Mus musculus: one gene and its partners. The protein of the gene in region 2 interacts with the protein of the main gene of each other region in a biochemical or structural test. Links are inferred from orthologs where the notes say so. Each region holds a gene or a part of one and is shown on either strand. Other genes may lie near its edges.

Region 1 (3,746 bases), on a different chromosome or scaffold from region 2:
CAGGTGTGAAAGATAACTTTGTATGTAGACAAATATAGCAGCCTACTGACAAGTTTATAGTTTTCTTTTAAGATCAGATTTTTGTTTTATCTTATAAGCTTTTAAAAATTAGTAACTCATTAATAATTACTTTGTTTGGCATTTTGATTTGTACAGAAGGTTAAGACTTATTTTTCCATTTGAAACTGACAAATCCAAGTATACCTTTGACCATTCATAAAGGACACAGCAAAGTATCCGTTAACAAGTAATTATAAAGTCCCGAGACCCTGCAAATTAAAACCTCAGGAAAACCAAAGCTCTCCAGAGATTATGCCCCAAAAACGACAATTATTTTTAACTATGCAGGACTCTTCTGAAAGGGAGGAGAGAAACATTTATAGATTGGCTATTGTTCTTCCAGAACAAATCGAAAACCAAACACAAATAGAGCTGAGAACCTTAGATTGAGGGCAATCTGGGTTCGAGTTCTCACTGGCTGCCTGCGCTGAAGCAAACTGCTGAAGCACTGAGCCTCCGTTTCTTCCTCTGTGGAACCCAGTGTGCCAGCCACACTCAAATGAGTGCCTGGCTGGTATCTGGGGAACAGGGCCTAGCTCCTCTGGCCTCAGGCTACAGTTCCTGCTCCTCCATGCTTCTCCCTCCCACACTGCCTGCTCAGGAGGTTAGCAGTGCTGCATGAGGTCCGCATTTTGGCTTGGCACCAAATAGCTAGTTTTAATTAGCTATTGCCAACACTGACATATCAGAGTCCAGATACAAACTTGGAATCCTGGCTTTTACAAAAATTGCTGAACCAAGTTCTGGAGCTCTGGGGTCTCCAGCACCCCATAAAGCCCCACACTTGCCCTGGAGGGCTGATTCTTGGCTCCAGACTGAGCAGAGTTCCTTGTTGATCTTGCCCTTTCACTTTCTGTCTGTCCCTGCTCAAGGCCCTCCAGCACCCCCACCCCACACCCTCCATTTCTAGGGCACAGACCCTTCACTATAGCTGGTGTCATATCCTGTCCTAGAACTGTGTGCATGCCAGTCTGCTCTATGGGGCTCCTGGACTCTCTGGGGGACGGTACCCTGTTGCTATCTCCTTTGTGTCCCCAGAGCCCAGCAGAAAGCATGACCTAGATAATACAGAATCCAGTAGATAACTCCTGAATGTGTGGAAGGAAGCCAGAGCAAAACTCTTACCAAAACGTATTTTTTTTATCACAAATTGTTCTGACAGCTACTAGAAAGAGATTAAAAACATGAAAATATTTCACAAAGTGAGAATCAGCGTCTGTTTGCTTACAAGTTTCACAAGTTAAAGTCACCAACAAAATGGACAAAGCAGAGATAATAATAGGCAGGGATGGTCTTACTGTTCATTCACTGATCTGACTTTACAGATGAAACAACTACCTGTACTCACCATGCTATACAAAAAGGACGGGGCAATAAATCAGATAGCATCAATCCAGAGTAGGTACTGGATGGAAAATTAAAGAAACTGATGAGCGAGAATGACTAAGCGAGGGAAAAGGGTGGTCAAGCTAGGTAGGCCTCGCCTATAACAAGACACTGAACCACAGGAGGAAGCGATGTGAGAGAAGACAGCTGGGTAAAAATCTTATAGACAACTCTGAACATAGAGAAATCGAAGTGCAAAGGTCCTGAGGTAAATAAATGATTTTGGCATGCCCAAGGCAGGTGAGCTTAGGATAGGAGAGCAGAGATCTGCTTCTGTTAAGAGGGGAAGGAGTGGCGGAGGAGGTGGGCAGGGCCCACTCTGGCTTTGCTGGGCACTGAAGATGAATGACAAGGCTCGGGAGGGGGGGCAGAAGTGGGGGAGGACTCTAAGCGGATGAGGGGGAGTTCCTACGACACTCACATCAGCAAGGGAGCATTTATTTACCCACTCAGATGCTCTCAAATGTGCGCCTTAGGCTTCTCTGCCCTAACGCTTTGAGACAGTTACACTGCCCGTTAACAACCCCGACCAAACCCTAGACATTCTACCATTACTCCCGAGGGGAAAGCAGAGGGCCAGTGAGGGTCGCAGTCACCGCCAAGGTCGCGGGGACCAGAGCTCAGGCTCCAGGGCATGCAGCGGGGTGCAGCGACGTGCCTCACAGCTGGAGGAAAGGCGCCCACAGATCCCTGCGGGCAGGTCTGCTGGGGCCCGGCCAGACAGCCGGCCTGCAGCCCTGGGGCTGCACACACCAGGCGGGAGAGAACGACCGCGGAACCGTGGATAGCCGGGCAGTACCGAGCAGTCCACCCCCTGAGCCCCGCACCCCAGGCCCTGCGTGGCCCGAGCAGCCCCGCCAGGCCTAGCCGCCCGCCCGGCTCACCTCGGCTCCGCGCCGCCGCGCCGGAGGCAGAGGGAGGGCACGCTGGCGGCGATGCGTTCTGGCGGCACCCAGCTCCACGACCTGGACCCGGTCGCCCCGCCCCGCTCTGCTCCGCCCCGTCGCCGTCGCAGTGGGTGTGAGGGGCGCGGGGCGCTGCGACCCTTCCGGTCCGGTTCCCTTCTGCTCCGCTGCTGCCACCGCCGCCGCCGCCGCCGCGGCGCTCAGTCTGACGGATTCTTAGGCCAGCCAATCAGAACTAGGATATCCAGACAGGCGGGACCAATTGAGACTGGGGGTGGGCAAGGCTGGGCAGTACGGGCGTGGCTGGAGGCTGGGTGTGGGCGGGGCCAGTGGCGCGCTCTGGATGCCCTAGTGCAGAGTGGCGCCCCCTAGGCGGCTCGCCGTCTGACCGTCTGCTTGCTGGAAGAGCGTCCGCCAGTGTGCACAGAGTTAGGGATCCAGGTCAAGCTAGGACCGTCTCCTGAGCCCGCCCTCCAGGGCCAGGAGACCCGCATGCGCCGGAGAGGGTGGGCCAAGGGGAGCCAGAGCCGGGGAGGGGCGAGGCGTGACTTTGCGACTACAGTGTAGGAGCCATTGTCAGGCCTCGGTTGTAGCAGGTGCAAATGGAGAGGCGACTTGGAAAAGGACTAAAGACAGCCGGGTTAGACAAGAGTTCTGGGCATGATCAAGGACTTGAAGCCTGGGAACCTGGAGTACAACGGCCCCGGAGGAAGAACCAGGACAAGCCGCGGGGCCTTGGGGTTTGTTTTTCACTAAGGCAGATGCCACACTGAATGGGATCATAACAGGGGTGCGGCCAGATGTCCAGAAGGTGGGGGTTGGGGAGACGGTGACCATGACCCTGATGAGTCAGTGACGGGTATAGCCTAAAGAGGCCTCTTATAAGAGACAAGTTTCTGCTTTGGTGTAGAGGGGTGAGGAGGGTGTCCGTCCAGTGCTGAAGGGCTTCTAGACAGTGGGTCTTTAACACTGCTGCTTTTGTTGACGCTTCTGCAGACCTCTGGCTCTCAAGTAGGTTCCAGAAGGTCTGAGGTGAATCAGATGTTTGGAAAACTCAGAATTTGGGATTCTGACTACTCTGTGTTTTGATAGAGAGGCTGCAAGTGAGACAGGGACGTTGAACACACTGAGGGAAGCTACGAACAGGTTAGGCTGAGGACTGGTCAATAAGGGATTGGAAAAATGGAGACAGTAGTTGACAAGTGGTGTCTATGGTGGTAGAGCTGTAGTCACAAGATGCCAAGGAGGAGCCAGGGAGAAGGACTCTGCGTATAGGAAGATCAAGAGACTAGGAGGCCCCATGAATCTCCGCAGAATTTGAAGAGAGCTGTGACTCTGGTTTCAAGCACTGAACTAGGGTGGTGGAGGCTCAGAGGAGCAGTAGGGTCGAGAAGG
Region 2 (3,647 bases):
CGCAAATCTCTGGTTTCCAGGTACAGCACACTGCGGCGCAGATCCTTCTCCGAAACTAAACTTCCAAGCATACTCATCTTGGAGGGCTACTCTCAAACCCGCTCAACTTCAACGCACTTACGTGCTCCCACACCCAGGGCGCACACAACCCTTTTAACCCGCATCGCTCTGTCCCCCGGAAGTGCGGGGGTGCGGAGCCAGCTTCAGTCACTCAGATCATTCAGCCCTTTCTCGGGCGTGCGTGCGTGTGTGTGTGTGTGTGTGTGCCCGCGCGCGGGCGCGCGCCTGTGTGCAACCTTCACTCCCACCCAAGCTCTCCGCCCCCGGCCACTAGCGCGCCTCCCCTGCTTTCTGGATCCCCGCGTCTCGGTCCCAGTCCCCAGCCCTGAACTTGAGCCCGCCTCCGACAGACTCCGCAAGGGTCCTGCCGACCGGCAGCCTCCGTCACTAGACAGCCAAACCAAGACGTCAGCCCACAATGCACCGGGCGGGCCGGGAAAGACGCGCCGGGGAGGGAACCCGGGAACACAAGCCGAAGCTGAGCGCGGGAGGGGGGGGGGGGAGGAGGAGAAAGAAGGGCCCAACTGTAGGAGCGCAGCGGAGCATTACCTCATCCCGTGAGCCTTCGCGGGCCCAGAGAAGAATCTTCTAGGGTGAGGTCTCCATGGCGACGGGTGGGCCCGCCCCCCTGAGAACGACGCAAGCCAATGGGAAAGCCTCGGGGTGACATCATGGGCTATTTTTAGGGATTGACTGGTAGCAGATAAGTGTTGAGCTCAGGCTGGATAAGGACTCAGAGTTGCACTGAGTGTGGCAGAGACAGCCTGGCAGGAGAGCGCTCAGGCAGACAGACAGACAGACGGACGGACTTGGCCAACCCGGTCGGCCGCGGACTCCGGACTGTTCATCCGTTTGTCTTCATTTTCTCACCAACTGCTTGGATCCAGCGCCCGCGGCTCCTGCACCGGTATTTTGGGGAGCATTTGGAGAGTCCCTTCTCCCGCCTTCCACGGAGAAGAAGCTCACAAGTCCGGGCGCTGCTGACAGCATCGAGAGCGGCTCCCGACCGCGCGAGGAAATAGGCGAGCGGCTACCGGCCAGCAACTTTCCTGACCCAGAGGACCGGTAACAAGTGGCCGGGAGCGAACTTTTGCAAATCTCTTCTGCGCCTTAAGGCTGCCACCGAGACTGTAAAGAAAAGGGAGAAGAGGAACCTATACTCATACCAGTTCGCACAGGCGGCTGAAGTTGGGCGAGCGCTAGCCGCGGCTGCCTAGCGTCCCCCTCCCCCTCACAGCGGAGGAGGGGACAGTTGTCGGAGGCCGGGCGGCAGAGCCCGATCGCGGGCTTCCACCGAGAATTCCGTGACGACTGGTCAGCACCGCCGGAGAGCCGCTGTTGCTGGGACTGGTCTGCGGGCTCCAAGGAACCGCTGCTCCCCGAGAGCGCTCCGTGAGTGACCGCGACTTTTCAAAGCTCGGCATCGCGCGGGAGCCTACCAACGTGAGTGCTAGCGGAGTCTTAACCCTGCGCTCCCTGGAGCGAACTGGGGAGGAGGGCTCAGGGGGAAGCACTGCCGTCTGGAGCGCACGCTCCTAAACAAACTTTGTTACAGAAGCGGGGACGCGCGGGTATCCCCCCGCTTCCCGGCGCGCTGTTGCGGCCCCGAAACTTCTGCGCACAGCCCAGGCTAACCCCGCGTGAAGTGACGGACCGTTCTATGACTGCAAAGATGGAAACGACCTTCTACGACGATGCCCTCAACGCCTCGTTCCTCCAGTCCGAGAGCGGTGCCTACGGCTACAGTAACCCTAAGATCCTAAAACAGAGCATGACCTTGAACCTGGCCGACCCGGTGGGCAGTCTGAAGCCGCACCTCCGCGCCAAGAACTCGGACCTTCTCACGTCGCCCGACGTCGGGCTGCTCAAGCTGGCGTCGCCGGAGCTGGAGCGCCTGATCATCCAGTCCAGCAATGGGCACATCACCACTACACCGACCCCCACCCAGTTCTTGTGCCCCAAGAACGTGACCGACGAGCAGGAGGGCTTCGCCGAGGGCTTCGTGCGCGCCCTGGCTGAACTGCATAGCCAGAACACGCTTCCCAGTGTCACCTCCGCGGCACAGCCGGTCAGCGGGGCGGGCATGGTGGCTCCCGCGGTGGCCTCAGTAGCAGGCGCTGGCGGCGGTGGTGGCTACAGCGCCAGCCTGCACAGTGAGCCTCCGGTCTACGCCAACCTCAGCAACTTCAACCCGGGTGCGCTGAGCAGCGGCGGTGGGGCGCCCTCCTATGGCGCGGCCGGGCTGGCCTTTCCCTCGCAGCCGCAGCAGCAGCAGCAGCCGCCTCAGCCGCCGCACCACTTGCCCCAACAGATCCCGGTGCAGCACCCGCGGCTGCAAGCCCTGAAGGAAGAGCCGCAGACCGTGCCGGAGATGCCGGGAGAGACGCCGCCCCTGTCCCCTATCGACATGGAGTCTCAGGAGCGGATCAAGGCAGAGAGGAAGCGCATGAGGAACCGCATTGCCGCCTCCAAGTGCCGGAAAAGGAAGCTGGAGCGGATCGCTCGGCTAGAGGAAAAAGTGAAAACCTTGAAAGCGCAAAACTCCGAGCTGGCATCCACGGCCAACATGCTCAGGGAACAGGTGGCACAGCTTAAGCAGAAAGTCATGAACCACGTTAACAGTGGGTGCCAACTCATGCTAACGCAGCAGTTGCAAACGTTTTGAGAACAGACTGTCAGGGCTGAGGGGCAATGGAAGAAAAAAAATAACAGAGACAAACTTGAGAACTTGACTGGTTGCGACAGAGAAAAAAAAAGTGTCCGAGTACTGAAGCCAAGGGTACACAAGATGGACTGGGTTGCGACCTGACGGCGCCCCCAGTGTGCTGGAGTGGGAAGGACGTGGCGCGCCTGGCTTTGGCGTGGAGCCAGAGAGCAGCGGCCTATTGGCCGGCAGACTTTGCGGACGGGCTGTGCCCGCGCGCGACCAGAACGATGGACTTTTCGTTAACATTGACCAAGAACTGCATGGACCTAACATTCGATCTCATTCAGTATTAAAGGGGGGTGGGAGGGGTTACAAACTGCAATAGAGACTGTAGATTGCTTCTGTAGTGCTCCTTAACACAAAGCAGGGAGGGCTGGGAAGGGGGGGGAGGCTTGTAAGTGCCAGGCTAGACTGCAGATGAACTCCCCTGGCCTGCCTCTCTCAACTGTGTATGTACATATATATTTTTTTTTAATTTGATGAAAGCTGATTACTGTCAATAAACAGCTTCCTGCCTTTGTAAGTTATTCCATGTTTGTTTGTTTGGGTGTCCTGCCCAGTGTTTGTAAATAAGAGATTTGAAGCATTCTGAGTTTACCATTTGTAATAAAGTATATAATTTTTTTATGTTTTGTTTCTGAAAATTTCCAGAAAGGATATTTAAGAAAATACAATAAACTATTGAAAAGTAGCCCCCAACCTCTTTGCTGCATTATCCATAGATAATGATAGCTAGATGAAGTGACAGCTGAGTGCCCAATATACTAGGGTGAAAGCTGTGTCCCCTGTCTGATTGTAGGAATAGATACCCTGCATGCTATCATTGGCTCATACTCTCTCCCCCGGCAACACACAAGTCCAGACTGTACACCAGAAGATG
Region 3 (3,670 bases), on a different chromosome or scaffold from region 2:
TATTTTAGCCTTTAGTAGGTATCACCTTAATCTTGAAGAAGCAAATGCAGCTAGCCCATGGGACCTTAGCATGGCCTGCCCAGACCTTTGAATGTGTGAGGATGGACTTCAAGCGTGGTTTCGACTCACAACCTCTCTTTGCCGCTCCCCCCGCCCCGCCCCCCCCCATCAGAATTCGCCCTCCCAGTCACCTCGCCCCCTCCCTCCCACTGGACCAGACGCCGCCGCAGTGGAAAAGCCCTGAGGCTCCCGCTGTCCCCATAGCGCGGACGGTCTCTGCTGCGGTCCCTGCCCACTGGCGCCACCGGTCCAGGTGCCGCCTCGCCCGGAAGAAATCTCCCCATCGGCGGTGACCGGCGCTGGGGCGCTAAGGGAGGCTGCGAAGGGACATTGAAGCCACCGAGCCACTCACTGGTGCTTCTCACCCAAACTTCCCAGGAGCGGCCGGAGGACCGTCCACGGCGGCGCTGCGCCAGCACCCCGTCTCCACCCACTCGGGGTCTTCTCCGTGGGTGGGCTTCGGTGCTGCCACGTGACTTCCACGAAGAGCGGGGGCCCTTAGCGGAAAGCAGCGACTTGGGTGGGATCCTGGACCCCGAGGTGCGGCGAGAGGGTGGGGGGAGGAGGAAGCAGGGGCGGGGTGGGAGTAGGGGGCGGGGCCGGGCCGGGCCGGGACTGGACACGGGGTGGGGAGGCGGGCACCGTGGAGCCCGGAGAGCGGGAAGCGGCGGGGCGGGGCGGGGCAGCAAGTGCGGGGATGCGGGCGGAGCGCGGGTAGCAGAGCCCCACGTTCAGGGCGCCCCGTGTGGCGAGCGCGCGGCATGTCGCAAGGGCCCCCCGCGGTCAGCGTGCTGCAGAGAAGCGTGGATGCGCCCGGGAACCAGCCGCAGGTATTGGACAAGGGGGCCGGGTGTGAGGACCGGGTGAGGGTGAGGGCAGAGCTCCAGGTGCGCCCCCGCCGTGCGCCCCCGCCGTGCGCCTCAAGCGCTTGGGAAGGCGGCAGCCCCTCCAGACTCGGCGCCGAACACGTGGGTCCGCGCTGCTGTGGGCAGTTTCATCCTTGACTCCTGTGGGCGCTGGTGGGAGGGGGCCCGGAGCTCCGATATTATGAATTCAGCCCAAAGGGGCGGTTCGTCCCTGCATCCAACCCACTGGCCAAGATCCGCATGGGGAATGTCGGACCGGTCAATTTGTGGGTGTGGGGTTTTGTCTCTAATGGGCAGACTCCACCCCCAGCACGGGTGGAAACTTCTCGCCCCAATATGATCAGCACCCTCTGTTGTCCCAGCTTTCAAAGCTGTAGTCACAAGAAGCTGAGACCAAATAGAGGCCACTGTTGGAACACTTCTTGGCCACCTGGTTGCTTTATCAATAGATCAGGTCTTATTTTTCTTAGTCACCACACACACTCCCAACTCTCTGCTTGAAGTGTAATGTCCCAGGATGACCCTGGAAGTCTGAGCCAAGTAGTTGGAGTGGCCTTATACTATTTGCTTCGACTAGCGGAGCCTCAATTTCCCCATCTATAAGATGAACTCTTTTTGTATCTCCTGAGGACGTTTGCAGAGGTCATGTGAGTGATGGGTGATTTGTGTCTCCATTCGTCATTCCTGCCCAGAGGGAAGGTGTGATCATCTGTGGCAGGTGATGTGACAGCTCCCAGAGGACAGGAGGCATGCTGCCCCTTGCCCTGAGACTTGTTGGCTTTGGAGAATAGAGACATTATTTCCTGTCAAGCACCAGTGGAGAGCCAGTGAGGTCAAATCTCAGGTCAGCTTGATTCTGGGCAGCAGAGCCCAGCAGTGTTCTGAGTACAGGGCAGGGTCTTAGTTATTATATACGGTGGAAGGCTTTGTGAGGGTGTAAAAGCTGAAGTTACATCGTTTATATGGCATGTCCCCCTGGATGCTCCAGGTGTGTTTATCAAGACCTTTGGGGTGTAGTGATGCAGGAGTACAATTCCAGAGCTAGGGAGGAAAGGGAAGGGAGACTACGTGAAACTGTTGAAGAAGGGGGTGGGGGGAGGACTTCTGGAAGGCACGTTTTGACACCTGTGTTCTCCTGAGCAGGTGTTGGGTCTGCTGTCTCTTCTTATCTATGCCTGGGATTCCTGGCTGAAGCCCTGAGTTTGTACGCCAGCCTCTGGGTTTTGCTGTTGCTGTGGCTCCAGATTACACCCTGAGCCTCACCTACCACTAAGCTCCCTCCCCATCTAGACACCTTTTGAACTCAGTCTTGAAGGACATTTTTTTTCCTCCCCTGATGGTGTCAATTGCAGTTCTGGAAAGCAGACCCTTTCCTCTAAGTAAGCTCTCGCTGTGGTACGTGCATTTTTTTCTGCCTGCCCACTTCATGTCACCTCATGAAGGATTTTTGGATATTTGGTTAAGAACTCTCAAAACGCATCACAGATTTGCATTTGGAATAACCCTGACCTCTGAAAAGAAAATGTCAGCCAAGTGTTGTTCAAGAGAGCATGTCGTCATTAGTGTTCCAGAGTTTTCCACATACTGGTAGAGCTGTGTGGTTGCAGTTACTAATAAATGCATAACTATGGTCTGTATACAGTTTCAGAAGGACTTGCCAGTGTGTGGTAGTTTAAAGGCTGTGCACAGCAAGTTCTAGCGAGCACACACCCCAGTCTTTCTCACTCTCAGATGAGCAGTAACAGCACCGCTCTTCCAGGCAAACGCCCTGTGGGGCAGAAGTTTGTGAACGTTGGTTTGGGGACCAGCAAACCTGAGTTCCACTTCCCACTCACCCCCATGCTGGCCGTGGTACCTGGAGAACTTCCCTAACCTGAGTTTCTGATTCCTCGTTGTCTCATAGTATTTTTATTTTTTGTGGTCCTGGGTATGGAACACAGGGCCTGACATATCCCACACATATGGCACCACTAAGCTGCACCCCAGACCTTATATTCCTCATTTTAAAACAACAGTCTTTCTATACGCTTTTCAGTATGTGGGTGGTGATTAATATAAAGCAAAGCCCCACCACAGGATAGGTGTTCCTTAACAAAACCTCTCAGTAGCCCACTGGAGCATGGTGAGAGTCTGAGAGTCTTACCTCACCACATGTCATCCCCAGAGCCCCAAGGACGATGACAGGAAAGTTCGAAGGAGAGAGAAAAACCGGGTTGCAGCTCAGAGGAGCCGGAAGAAGCAGACCCAGAAGGCTGACAAGCTCCACGAGGTGAGCCTGTGGTCAGGTCAGGACTACAGGACAGCCACAGGGACAGCTGTCTCCTATCGGGGGAGGGGGCAGTGATGGCATCACGGTGCTCATCATCAGTCCTTCCAGTCTGATTCTTCTGGGTCCTCCCAGCCTATTGCTTTGCTTCTGTATTCTCGGGCCTCTTCCTCTCAGCCCCAGCCCCCGGGCTTCTTCCCACGCTTGATTTTTCTCTCACTATAGACTCAAACAAAAGCTAGATGTGGGGGCTCTCACACTATAGCACTCAGGAAGGTGGAGGCAGGAGAATACCCAGCCTGAGGCTAGTTGGAACTACAGAGAAACTGTCTATAGAAACAATAGTGACAACAGTAATAGTAATTAAAGTTCTGGAGGAGCAGCTCAGTGGAGTGCTTGTCTAATGTGCACAAGAATACCCTGGGTGGGAGTCTCAGCACCACATAAACCAGCCGTGGTGGAAGGAACACGCCTTCGA

What was found.
Region 1: of the proteins of Jun (region 2) and Mapk9, one has a biochemical effect on the other in vitro, tested with the Homo sapiens proteins (17 studies listed by BioGRID and IntAct, with this or other methods). The link is inferred for Mus musculus from reciprocal best matches to the Homo sapiens genes JUN and MAPK9.
Region 3: the proteins of Jun (region 2) and Batf3 form a complex in vitro, tested with the Homo sapiens proteins (2 studies listed by BioGRID and IntAct, with this or other methods). The link is inferred for Mus musculus from reciprocal best matches to the Homo sapiens genes JUN and BATF3.

What each region holds. Positions count from the first base shown.
Region 1 is NC_000077.6:49,845,560-49,849,305, reverse strand, and holds the start of Mapk9 (mitogen-activated protein kinase 9), read right to left. Parts: upstream 2,556-3,746; 5' UTR 2,331-2,555; intron 1-2,330. UniProt on the Homo sapiens protein: Serine/threonine-protein kinase involved in various processes such as cell proliferation, differentiation, migration, transformation and programmed cell death.
Region 2 is NC_000070.6:95,049,345-95,052,991, reverse strand, and holds the start of Jun (transcription factor AP-1), read left to right. Parts: upstream 1-769; 5' UTR 770-1,720; coding exon 1,721-2,725; 3' UTR 2,726-3,647. UniProt on the Homo sapiens protein: Transcription factor that recognizes and binds to the AP-1 consensus motif 5'-TGA[GC]TCA-3'.
Region 3 is NC_000067.6:191,097,638-191,101,307, forward strand, and holds the start of Batf3 (basic leucine zipper transcriptional factor ATF-like 3), read left to right. Parts: upstream 1-776; 5' UTR 777-821; coding exon 822-890; intron 891-3,090; coding exon 3,091-3,195; intron 3,196-3,670. UniProt on the Homo sapiens protein: AP-1 family transcription factor that controls the differentiation of CD8(+) thymic conventional dendritic cells in the immune system.